Linked DNA regions of Drosophila melanogaster. The protein of the gene in region 2 interacts with the protein of the main gene of each other region in a pairwise test. Each region holds a gene or a part of one and is shown on either strand. Other genes may lie near its edges.

The links. Proteins that work in one complex are often made in the same cells at the same time.
Region 1: the proteins of mRpS31 (region 2) and CG33469 interact in a two-hybrid assay, tested with the Drosophila melanogaster proteins (one large-scale study listed by BioGRID).

Annotation. Positions count from the first base shown.
Region 1 is NT_033778.4:14,604,316-14,609,132, reverse strand, and holds CG33469 (uncharacterized protein), read left to right. Parts: upstream 1-2,830; 5' UTR 2,831-2,957; coding exon 2,958-3,440; 3' UTR 3,441-3,481; downstream 3,482-4,817. Other genes in the region: Su(var)2-HP2, read left to right, coding at 1-1,235, 1,300-1,716; CG33468 (uncharacterized protein), read left to right, coding at 2,174-2,204, 2,272-2,759; CG12868 (uncharacterized protein), read left to right, coding at 3,933-3,966, 4,028-4,497.
Region 2 is NT_037436.4:16,002,325-16,007,753, forward strand, and holds mRpS31 (mitochondrial ribosomal protein S31), read left to right. Parts: upstream 1-2,868; 5' UTR 2,869-2,965; coding exon 2,966-3,003; intron 3,004-3,067; coding exon 3,068-3,523; intron 3,524-3,589; coding exon 3,590-4,226; 3' UTR 4,227-4,275; downstream 4,276-5,429. Other genes in the region: hzg (herzog), read right to left, coding at 1,575-1,656; mib1 (mind bomb 1), read right to left, coding at 4,409-4,549, 4,609-5,429.

The DNA.
Region 1 (4,817 bases), on a different chromosome or scaffold from region 2:
CCATTGGGCAGACCAAGATGTACTCATTTCTCTACCCGAAACGTTACAAGCAATCCTATGACGACGTCGGTCTAGACTTCTGCTGTCCAAATCTCGATGGACCAATGCGGGCTATTGATTTTACTCGATTGCATTCGAAGGCCGAGGTACCGGTGCTGGAAATCCCGCAGTTCCTGGTTATAACCACCAAGTTTATCTCTAAGGCGGATAAGAATATGCCAAGTAAGGTGCGGGCAAAGCTGGAATTACTGGACAAGTCGAAAGAACGGGATTCCAGTAAACTGACCCCGACGGCTACCACTCCGACTGCTGATCCCACCGGTCCTTCATCCTTTTCACCTGCTCCCGCTTCGGTTGGTCCGGCAACTCAACCGTTTCCATCGATTATACAGAATTTGCTATCGGCTCCCCTACCTGATCCAGGTCTATTTAATCATCCCACAACCGTGGACCCATCTACTTCCACTCCCGTAGTTTCAGGCAGTTCCTCTTCCACTACCATTTCGGCGGACTTGGATTCTTTAAGCAAACAGTTGCCACGTGGCACAAAACTGATCAAGAAGTCAGTGCAACAAGTGGCTACCAATCCCTCATTAGCCGGCACCTCGATGGTAATTAATGCGTCGCCGTCCTTTATTCAGTTACCTCCGATTTGCCCCAACGACAAGCAGCGCGTGGAGTTGCAGGCGAGGGTTCAAATGTTTGACTTGGTGCTCCAGACCCTCAGCCGGCGGGCAGCCAACTTATCAGTGGCCGAGCGACAGCGTACCATTGAGGAAATTGTAAGGACCAGCTCGTTAATGGCCATCGACGTGGATGTGGGTACAAAGCTTTTGGAAAACTATGTACATTACTTAAACAAGGCTACCAGCACAATGACTCCTCTAACCCCGGCCCAAATCAACTCGAGCTTAGGCGCTTCCACCAGCTCGACGCTTTCCAAAAGCATAGCCACCTCCGACATCCCACAGCAAGGGAAGAAAATATCTGCGGACCATGCCCAACAGCGGAGTTCTCTCCCCGCTACCATTCCCCTTTACGATGGGGGCAGGAACACACTTGGCTTTCCGTATAGCTGCTCGAAATCGACGGCAGGGCGAAAGTCTTCATATGTTGCCACCAGCACGCCTGTGAAAGCCTCCACATCCCAAGCAGCAGCAGCAGCAGCTCTAGGAAACGCTCAGCCAAGATCCACGTTGGGGATCCCGAAAAGTGTTCGGGAAGACGCTAGTCAGGTAGTTATTATTTACGACAAATATTTATGTGGTCATTAATAAACAATTTATTGTTCCTAAACAGTTCGTTAATCTCAACACAACAGTGTGTATGCCAGCACCAAGGACGAATGCCAAGAAAAAACCAGGGACTTCGGGCCCTTTAAAGTCGATGAATTCTTCACCAGCTGTGCAGAAACCGGCGCTGTGCAAACAGCAGACGGCGCCGGCAAGAACTCTGTCCAAGAGCACAGTCTCATCCGTTGCACGAGCGAAATCAACAGGGTCTTTAAGTGCAGTGTTGGGTGAGACTCCTGCTGACGAATTCGTATCCCCCGCCGGAATGAGTCTGAGTACCACCGGAAATCCGAATGTCTTCATCATTAACCACGCGGTGCAGTCAGAGGAAAGCATCCTGCCTGACTCCAACAGCAGCGTAGGGCACATGGAAACGACGGTGATCAAAGGCGAGCTGGATGATTCTGCGGAGATTATTATATAGCAGGGCAAAGACTATAAACCAGTTGGAAAGTATTCTAAGTTACTTTAGCACAGTTAATTAAGAGTTAATTATTTCGTTGAACGCAAAATCATAATTTTGTAATTCTGAAATGAAGAATTTGTTAAACCTTACGCAGCATCGTCATTTTTTTTTTTTTTTTTTGAAATAAATGGTTAAATATTTTATTCAGTGTGGGACTTTCAAGTAAATATCTTATAGTTATCATTGCATATTTATTAAGTATCCAAATAAAATATAAATATAAACATTCTAACATTTTTTTATATAAGCCGAAACGCATAAATCGTGTAAAATAAGAAATAAGAAAAATTACATTTCGTTCGAAGCTTTTGGAGCCATTGGCGAAATCTTAAAGCTCTTGTGAAATATTACAGAGCGATAAGTATAAAAGTTGCGCAGGGGAAAAACCGTTTCTATTAACAACAAATTTTTCAAGATGACAACATCTGCTGTTGAAGCTCCCAATAGTAAGTTTAGTTAAAACTTTACAGAGGCATATTATAATGATGCACATATGTATATAATAATCTACAGGTGCATATCCCGATTTAGAAAAGCGACTGGAAAGGTATTTGCGAAGTGTGTTTTGCCTAAAGGAAATCGATACTAAAAATGAGTACATTCCAACCGAAGTGGAGTACTTTGGAGTTCTGAGTTTAAGCGATGTTCGAGCGCCTCGCCGAAAACTGTGGTACATGTACTATGCGACAACAGATCAGGTGGACAAAACTGTGGATCAGATCCATCGTAAATATGGCCAAAAGAATATGTACGAGCTGTTCAGAAAACCGGTATATACAGGGGCTGGAATGCGATCCCGTGTTAAGAACCACTTTAAAGGGCTTAAGTGGCACGTAAAAGGAAACATTTTGGAAGCCCCGCTAGGTAGCTCCCTTAATGATGAGAAAGTGGTTAACACAATTGCAGATTTATATCAGAACGAAAGGAGAAGATACTTCGATTACCTTATGTCTAGGAGTAATCTGTATAAATCGTGTACATATCGAAACATAAATGCATAAAATATTTTCATTTATGTATAAGACTTTCTAGAATAAAGCTTTAAAATAATAAATGCCAATAAATGCTAACCAGTATTCTTTTAACGCTTGTTGAGGTAGGAAGGCAAAATTGCCGCACACTTATCAATGGGCAAAGCCTATGAATCACCTTAAGTTTTCATCTGATTATATTTCTTAATAGCAGGGAATATTAGCAACATGGACGATAAATTGGAAAAGTACTGGAGACGTCTATTTTATATGAAGTCAGTTGCAGAACCTACGTCGTTGGATGCTGATACGATAGAATATTTCGGAATATTCAGTATTGACGAACCAAATGTCGCTGCCCAAAAACGGTGGTACATTTATTATGGCCTTAGATTAGAAAGGTTAAAGGTTCTGGAAAGGATTCGAAAGAAATATGGCAATAGGAATGTCAGAGAAATATTTCAGATCGCCACATTCAGCGGAGTGGGATTTCATAAAGTCGTCAGAGAATATTTCTCCAACTTAAAATGGTTCACAAGCAGAAATCAATTGGAAGCTCCACTAAATAGTTATTATAATGATGAAAGACTAGTGAAAACTGTTTCGGACTTGCATAACAAGGAGCAAAAAAGAATCTTTGACTATATAATGATACAACACGCCTGGTTTGAGCGGTATAATGATCAAAAACCACCTCCTGCTAAACATTAAACTAACTAAAAACATCGACTTACAGTCGACATCTGTTGACTAAAAGCGGCATGTGTATTTGTTGATAGGGGGTATTATTATACATTTTACAACCTATTGGTCAAGTTAAATGATTTATAAAAATATGTCGAATAAAATATATACACACACAAGTAGCTTGCGGTTATAATATAGTAGTACATAATAGTATATACCTTGGAGTCTAAAGACACAGTCATCCGATCATCCTAATCAACAAACATAAACACCCTAGTTGTCTGCATTAATAGGTATTAAAAAGAAACAAGCGCATTAAAAGCTCACTGTTTTTTGATAGGCCACAGGGTTGCTTCAAAAAGCTCTTTTGTTGTGAAATTGGAAATCGTAAACAAAACGAAACAAACTTTATACAAATCAGTTGAAATCGTATTTGTTGGGTATTTAATAAGAGTGCGTAGGAAGTTAACACGCATTCAGAAGTCAGAGAAGCAAGAGTCACCTCGTTATTAAAATATGACAACGAATTCAGTAACTGATAAGAACACGGGTAATTAAAACGGCAAATTATTTATTTGGAACATCAACGATGATTAACAACCGATTCGCAGAAGGAGATTACAACCTGGATGAGGAAATCGACAGCCATTTGAGAAAATTGTTCTGTCTAAAACCAAAAGCTGAAACACCCAAACTCAATCCCTACATAGTAGAATTCTTTGGAGTTCTTAGCTTGACAGATCTCCGTGCCCCACAAAGAAAACTATGGGTCATATATCACGCCAAGCAGCCTGATCTGGACAAGACCGTTGATGAGATCCACGAGAAGTATGGCAAGAAGAATATGTTTGATCTGTACCGCACACCAGTTTTCAGTGGAGTTGCTCTGCGGGACAGTGTGAGAAAGCACTTCTCGAACCTAAAGTGGTTTACGACGGGAAATCTCCTGGAAGCCCCACCTAAAAGCCACTTCAACGACGAGCGAGTGGTGAAAACCATCACGGATCTGCATCATCTGGAACACCAGAGACTATATAATTATGTGATGGTGAAGAATATGTGGTCTATGCGGTATCGCTAAACTAACCTGTGATTTAGGATTAAATTTGTATATGACTATCTAAAAGCAAGAATAATAAATTGTACTATTACAAAATCCATATAACATAATGGTTTGCTAACCAATCAAATAGTATTGTTTTCTTGTAGTACAAATTTTGTTTATTTTCCTATATTTCGTTGAATAAAGTACATAATAATTATGCTGATTTAATTTGTTAAATATATTCGATAACATTAAATAAATTCCGCTTGTGTTTTTTTTTTCTAAATGGATGACAACGCCGCATAAGGGTTAAAGTGCCAATCGATAACGCACGTCCTCACCTATCGCCACCCCTG
Region 2 (5,429 bases):
TTGTTCTTTTTGTTAGATATAAATACATATGTCTCGGATTGTATTTTAAATATAATGTGGTTAATCTTTACTTTTCTATCGCATTTTCTTCTTATGTACATAGTTAACCCGCTCTCTTTGGGCTCTCACCATTCATTTATTCATTCATTCATTACAACCATATCGCAACCTTTAAGCTACGCTTTTGTTGTTCGTCTGTTGCTTTGCTTGTTTGTTTGTTTGCATCACTGTAAAAAACAACACACACAACTAGTTTGATTGTGCTCTCCCTCTTGCTATCTCTCGTTTTATACCGGTTTTCCTGTATTTTTCTCAACTTTTTTTTACGTTTTTTACCTTGCTTTTTAGTGTGCAATTTAATTGGCAGTTTCTATTGTTGGACCCTCGAAAGTAAACATGCAAAGGCAGTTAGGCAGTTAAGCGAACGAAAAGAAAATAAGATGGGAGGAAAGTAAAGGCTTTCGTGTCGAAATTCCATGACGTCACATGTGCCGAAAGACGTCATCAATTGATTACAGGTGGGAGTGGGCCAGTGGGTGGCAATTGGGCGATGGGCGGTGGGTGGTGGCTGGCTGGTGGCAGAGTTGCAACTGCGTCGCAAAATAATTCAATAACCACAAAGCGAAGCCAGCAAGTGGTTAGATCATTCACAATGGCCAACGAACAAGAAAACACTGTGTGCTGAATAAAAAAGGGGCGAAACAAACACAACAGACAGGCACAACTGGCGTGAAAATAACACTATTATTAAGTATTGTTATTCATCGCAGTGAAAACCTGTGCAAGCCCATTTATTTAAATGTAAATGCATGACTGGGGACATTTTTGATTAATAAATTGATACCTTTGAATATTTAAAGGTAATTTTTGCTAGCATAGTACAGTTATCAAAGTCGAACAATCTATTAAGAAAACATAAGTCTGATTTTTACACAATAATGTGTCTATAAATTCAAACTCCTAGTCTACCTTGAAAGTAGAAAAAGTACAGACATTTAAAATGGAAATTAGATTCCCAATTAAAGAAAAGAAATTGCCATTTAATTGGTTTCAAATTACAGAAAGTACAGCAAACTGGTCACAGTCGTGCAAACAGATAATAGCTAACGTTAATTTAAATATTTAGCTTAGACAGAATTGAACAACTTTTTCCAGCTACAAGTTAATTGCATGTTGTTTGAATATATTTTTCGAATTAAAAGCACTTTTGTCTTTCATCAGTTTGTTTTTGGAGTGGTTCCTGTACAAATTAAAAAGGCCAATGCCATTTAACTTGCTGCTACTTTCGGAAAGTACGACATATGTACAACTAACTTATTCCCACAATTATATTGACCGCAATTGGGTGTGTTAGAAAGGTCAGCGGGGTGTTGGGCCCTCTTCTTTGGGAGGTTATGGTGGGTGGTGGTTGGTAAGTGGGGGAAACTTCTTGGCAGCGGACAAGTGTCCTTTCGTCTTTGTTGTGACGCCTTCGAGTGGCGATGAGTCATGAAGGGAGCTTTAAATATATGTATGTGTATGCGGACTGCGTTTTCAGCGATTTCCCCAGTTTGGCCCCCATTATTTGTTCTCACCTTTGTCATTGGGATAGCTGGGATAGACGTTCAGTTGCTCGTCGTCGCGGGAAACTTGCGTTATTATTGATGTTGCATCCATTTAAGCACTCGGTTTGTGGCTCCACTTCGCTTAACAGGTTGATAAATCGGATTCGGATTCAGATACTGATTCAGATCGGTTTCGTATAGGATAGCTGCAAAATGTTGCGCACACATGAGAGATAGAGATACATTGGATATGGCAATTATCGCGAGATGATTCCATGTTTTCTTCGTATATATGGTAAGTGTCGTGCAGTATATATGTCGTACATATATAATACATCTACCACGTATATATAGCTCACACACACACACATGCACCAATTGATAGCCTGCCCCAGACAGTGGAATTTTACAATTACGCTTTGGCCGTCCGTTCGCTTCGTTTTATTTCTCGATGCAAATGGGTTTCCCTTTGATATTCACCTCGCTATTTATCGCTCTCTCTTTCGCTCTGTTGCACTTTCGCCTCTCTGTTTTAGTAAATTTAAAACTTTTCAACGAATTTCAATAAAAAACACTTTCTTTCTTTCCTTCGCTCTTGTTTTTGGTTGCGCTCATTCTTTTACTTCTTTATCCGCGTCTGCTTTTCGCACACAGCTTCGCAGCGTTTTATTTATAAACGCCCACACAGACACAGCACTCACACACACTCTCGCACGCACACTAGCTCGGCCGCTGGTGTTTTCGTTATTTCGTCTCGTTATTTATTTATTTTTTTTATTTTTTGCCATTAATTAATCGCGCAAAATAACAAAACGCGTGTGTACGTCGAAAAAAAGTAACAGGAATAGCGCAAAAAACAAAACGTGTGATTAGTGTGACCGCGGTGGATGCGAGACTTATTACCAAGTGCAAAGAAAAAGTGGTAACATTTCGTGTTTACCTTAGAATCACAGGTTGAAGAAAGGCTTGATTATAAGTTAATTACTTACAAGGAGAATGTAGAATTCTATAAAAGGAGCTTGTTTTGAACTACATAATTATTTTCATAGATTTCCAAATTCGATAATCAAAGGTCATACTATCTGGTGCAATTTGGGCTGCCAACTGTGGTCAAGTTAATCTATAAAATTCTTGATTCAAAATGCAATTTTAAGAACATTTTATTTCAAATTATATCAAATCAGATAAAAAACAAATGTCCATGAAATGATTAGGTTAGTTAAGGATATTTTCAATCAAAACACTATAAGAAATAGGACAAGGGAAGCCAAACATAAAATAAAGCCAAATTTAACTATAAACTAGCTTAAACGGCAGTGCAAACAGTTCATCTGGTCTGGCAACTCTCCGCCGAATTGTTGTTACGCGAGCGATTTCTTTGGTCTTATTTCTAGTTAAAATTATCAAAGAAATATTATAAAATGTTGGCCGTACGAAGTTCCCAGAGATTGGGCCTACGGTAGGCCACCCGTCTAATTTGAAATAACCAAAAGAAATCCGTCACTCGACTATTTATTTTTCAGTTCCCTGCTACCGTCTGCCTTCAAAAACGTGGGATTGGTCAACTACTCCTCTTCGCAGTCCAAAAACGACGATGGATACTCCTCTTCGGACGACGAAAAGCCCACGAAGAAGAAGGAGGAACCTGTGGAAACGGCGGCCCAGCGGCTGAACCGCCTGTTGGGCACCATGCAGGCCACGGATCAGCTCTCGGCATCGGACTTTCCACGTCCTGGTGATGCCAACAGGAAGCGGAGGGAGGCCCAGAAACAGGAGGCAGCCGCCAAGAATGTTCTAACTGCGGCCAAGAACATTGCTAGCATGCTGGGCACCAGTGAGAGCGACAAGAAGCAGACAGAGTCTGAGCTATTGGCCAAACTCCTTGGCCATGGAAGCGAGTCCTCTTCAGCAGCGACCGGAGAAAATCAGACGGCGGATGTTTCGGGATCTCCTTCTGGTGATAAGGAACTCAATCTGAGGTGTGTAAAAATGATTTTCTCGCATTAATGGATAATCTAATAAAATTTATTTTCCTTACACAACAGTGATATTATCGTGGGCATGAAGATCGATCGTCGTCAGCAGCCGCAGCAGGTGGAGCAGACCCGCGGCGAGTACGTTCGCCGCTCGCTGGCTTCCAGATTCAAGCCACAGAATCGAGATGGGGCTTATCAGCGGTCACAGAGGCAAACCAAACGAGAGGCTGAATCCTTTACGGGCAGTGTCAATTTGTACGGCGGGGAACCGTTGGGTATCTTCAAGGATACCCAGCTGCCGATTTCCAACGACATCCTTTCAACCTGGTCACAGCTGAGTGAGCGGGAGCTTAGTTTACAAGCTTCCCATCCCCCGGCAAACTACTTCGAGCAAATGGTCCTGTGGACGGATCAAAAGAAGGTGTGGCGCTTTCCCATCAACAATGAGCAGGATTGGGAGGACGAGCATAACGTGGACTTCTCGGAACACATTTTTCTGGAACAACATCTCGAGGATTGGTGTCCTAGCAAGGGGCCTATTCGCCATTTCATGGAGCTCGTCTGCGTCGGCTTGTCCAAGAATCCCTACTTGACTGCCCAGGAGAAGAAGGATCACATTTTCTGGTTCCGTGACTATTTCCAGGCCAAGAAGGACATTCTGAGGGATCTGATTAGCAAGGAGCCAAGCAAAAGTATTTCTGCTTAATGTTTTTGTTTGAATATTTGTTAAAAATATATTTTTGCTTTATAAGACCAATCCGATATATAGTTATATATATGATATTGTGTGTGTATATATGTGTGTATAAGAATGTGAGTCCTTTAAATATCCTAATACTTCGAAGGCTGTGCAGACTGTGCGCGGAATGTGTGAACCGGGAACGGGCTTCAGAAGAGCAGGATGCGTTTTTCCACGGTCTTGCGGCAAATGGGACACCCCTCAATCTGGTCGCCACACATCTGGCACGTGCCGTGGCCACATAGGAAGACCATGTTCTTTATGCGGTCAAAGCAGACAGGACACATAGTCTATAAGATAAATTTGAGGATCAGTCACTGAACATATTTTCAATCTTATTTGAGCTCACCTGTTCCTTGATGTCCTGCAACTGCTGCTTCAACTTTTGGACATCATCCATCTGGAAGTTGTTGACATTGGAAGGAGCCACCATCGCGTTTCCAGCTGCTGACAGATTCGAGACATTCGAAGAGGCTGCTGCAGCGGCCAGGAGATTATTCTGGCTATTCAACTGATTGCTGCTGCCCGCCACTGGAGTAACCACGGTGTTGTTCATGGCCACGCTATGGCCGGAGGCATTGGCACAAGCTGCCGCTGCTGCAGCTTCCATGAAACGATCGTCGGGCAGTGGCAAGCCCACTGTTGCCATCGCTCCAGCTGCCACGGACACCTTCTCCGGTCGTCCACTACCTCCGCAGCAAAGGCTGAACGATAATATCTCATCGATTTGCGTGCGACACAGGACGCACTTTTTCATCAAAGCACTGCAGTGCTCACATGCGACCATATGGCCACAGGGGCGGAAGAAGACGGCTGCCCTGCGATCCGAGCACACCAGACACTCGTCGATCTTTTCGCGCGAGGAGACGGTCTCCCGACAGATGAGGCATTTCTTCACCCTCGGAGCGCAGGTCTCGCAGCAACTGACATGGCCACAGGGCTTAAAGACCGTATCCCGCTTGGCATCCGAGCAAACCAAACACTCATCAAGACTGGCTGACGATTTCGGAGGATCCTCGTGCAGGGACTGGCTCATTTCGTTGGCGATGCCGTTGAGGGCAAATATGGAAGATGATGAGGCAGCTGGGAAAGTGGATGAGGCAGCTAGGCTGGAAAGCGGCATATTGACTGAGGAGGACTGATTTAAGCTACCACTGGCTGCTCTTGCCC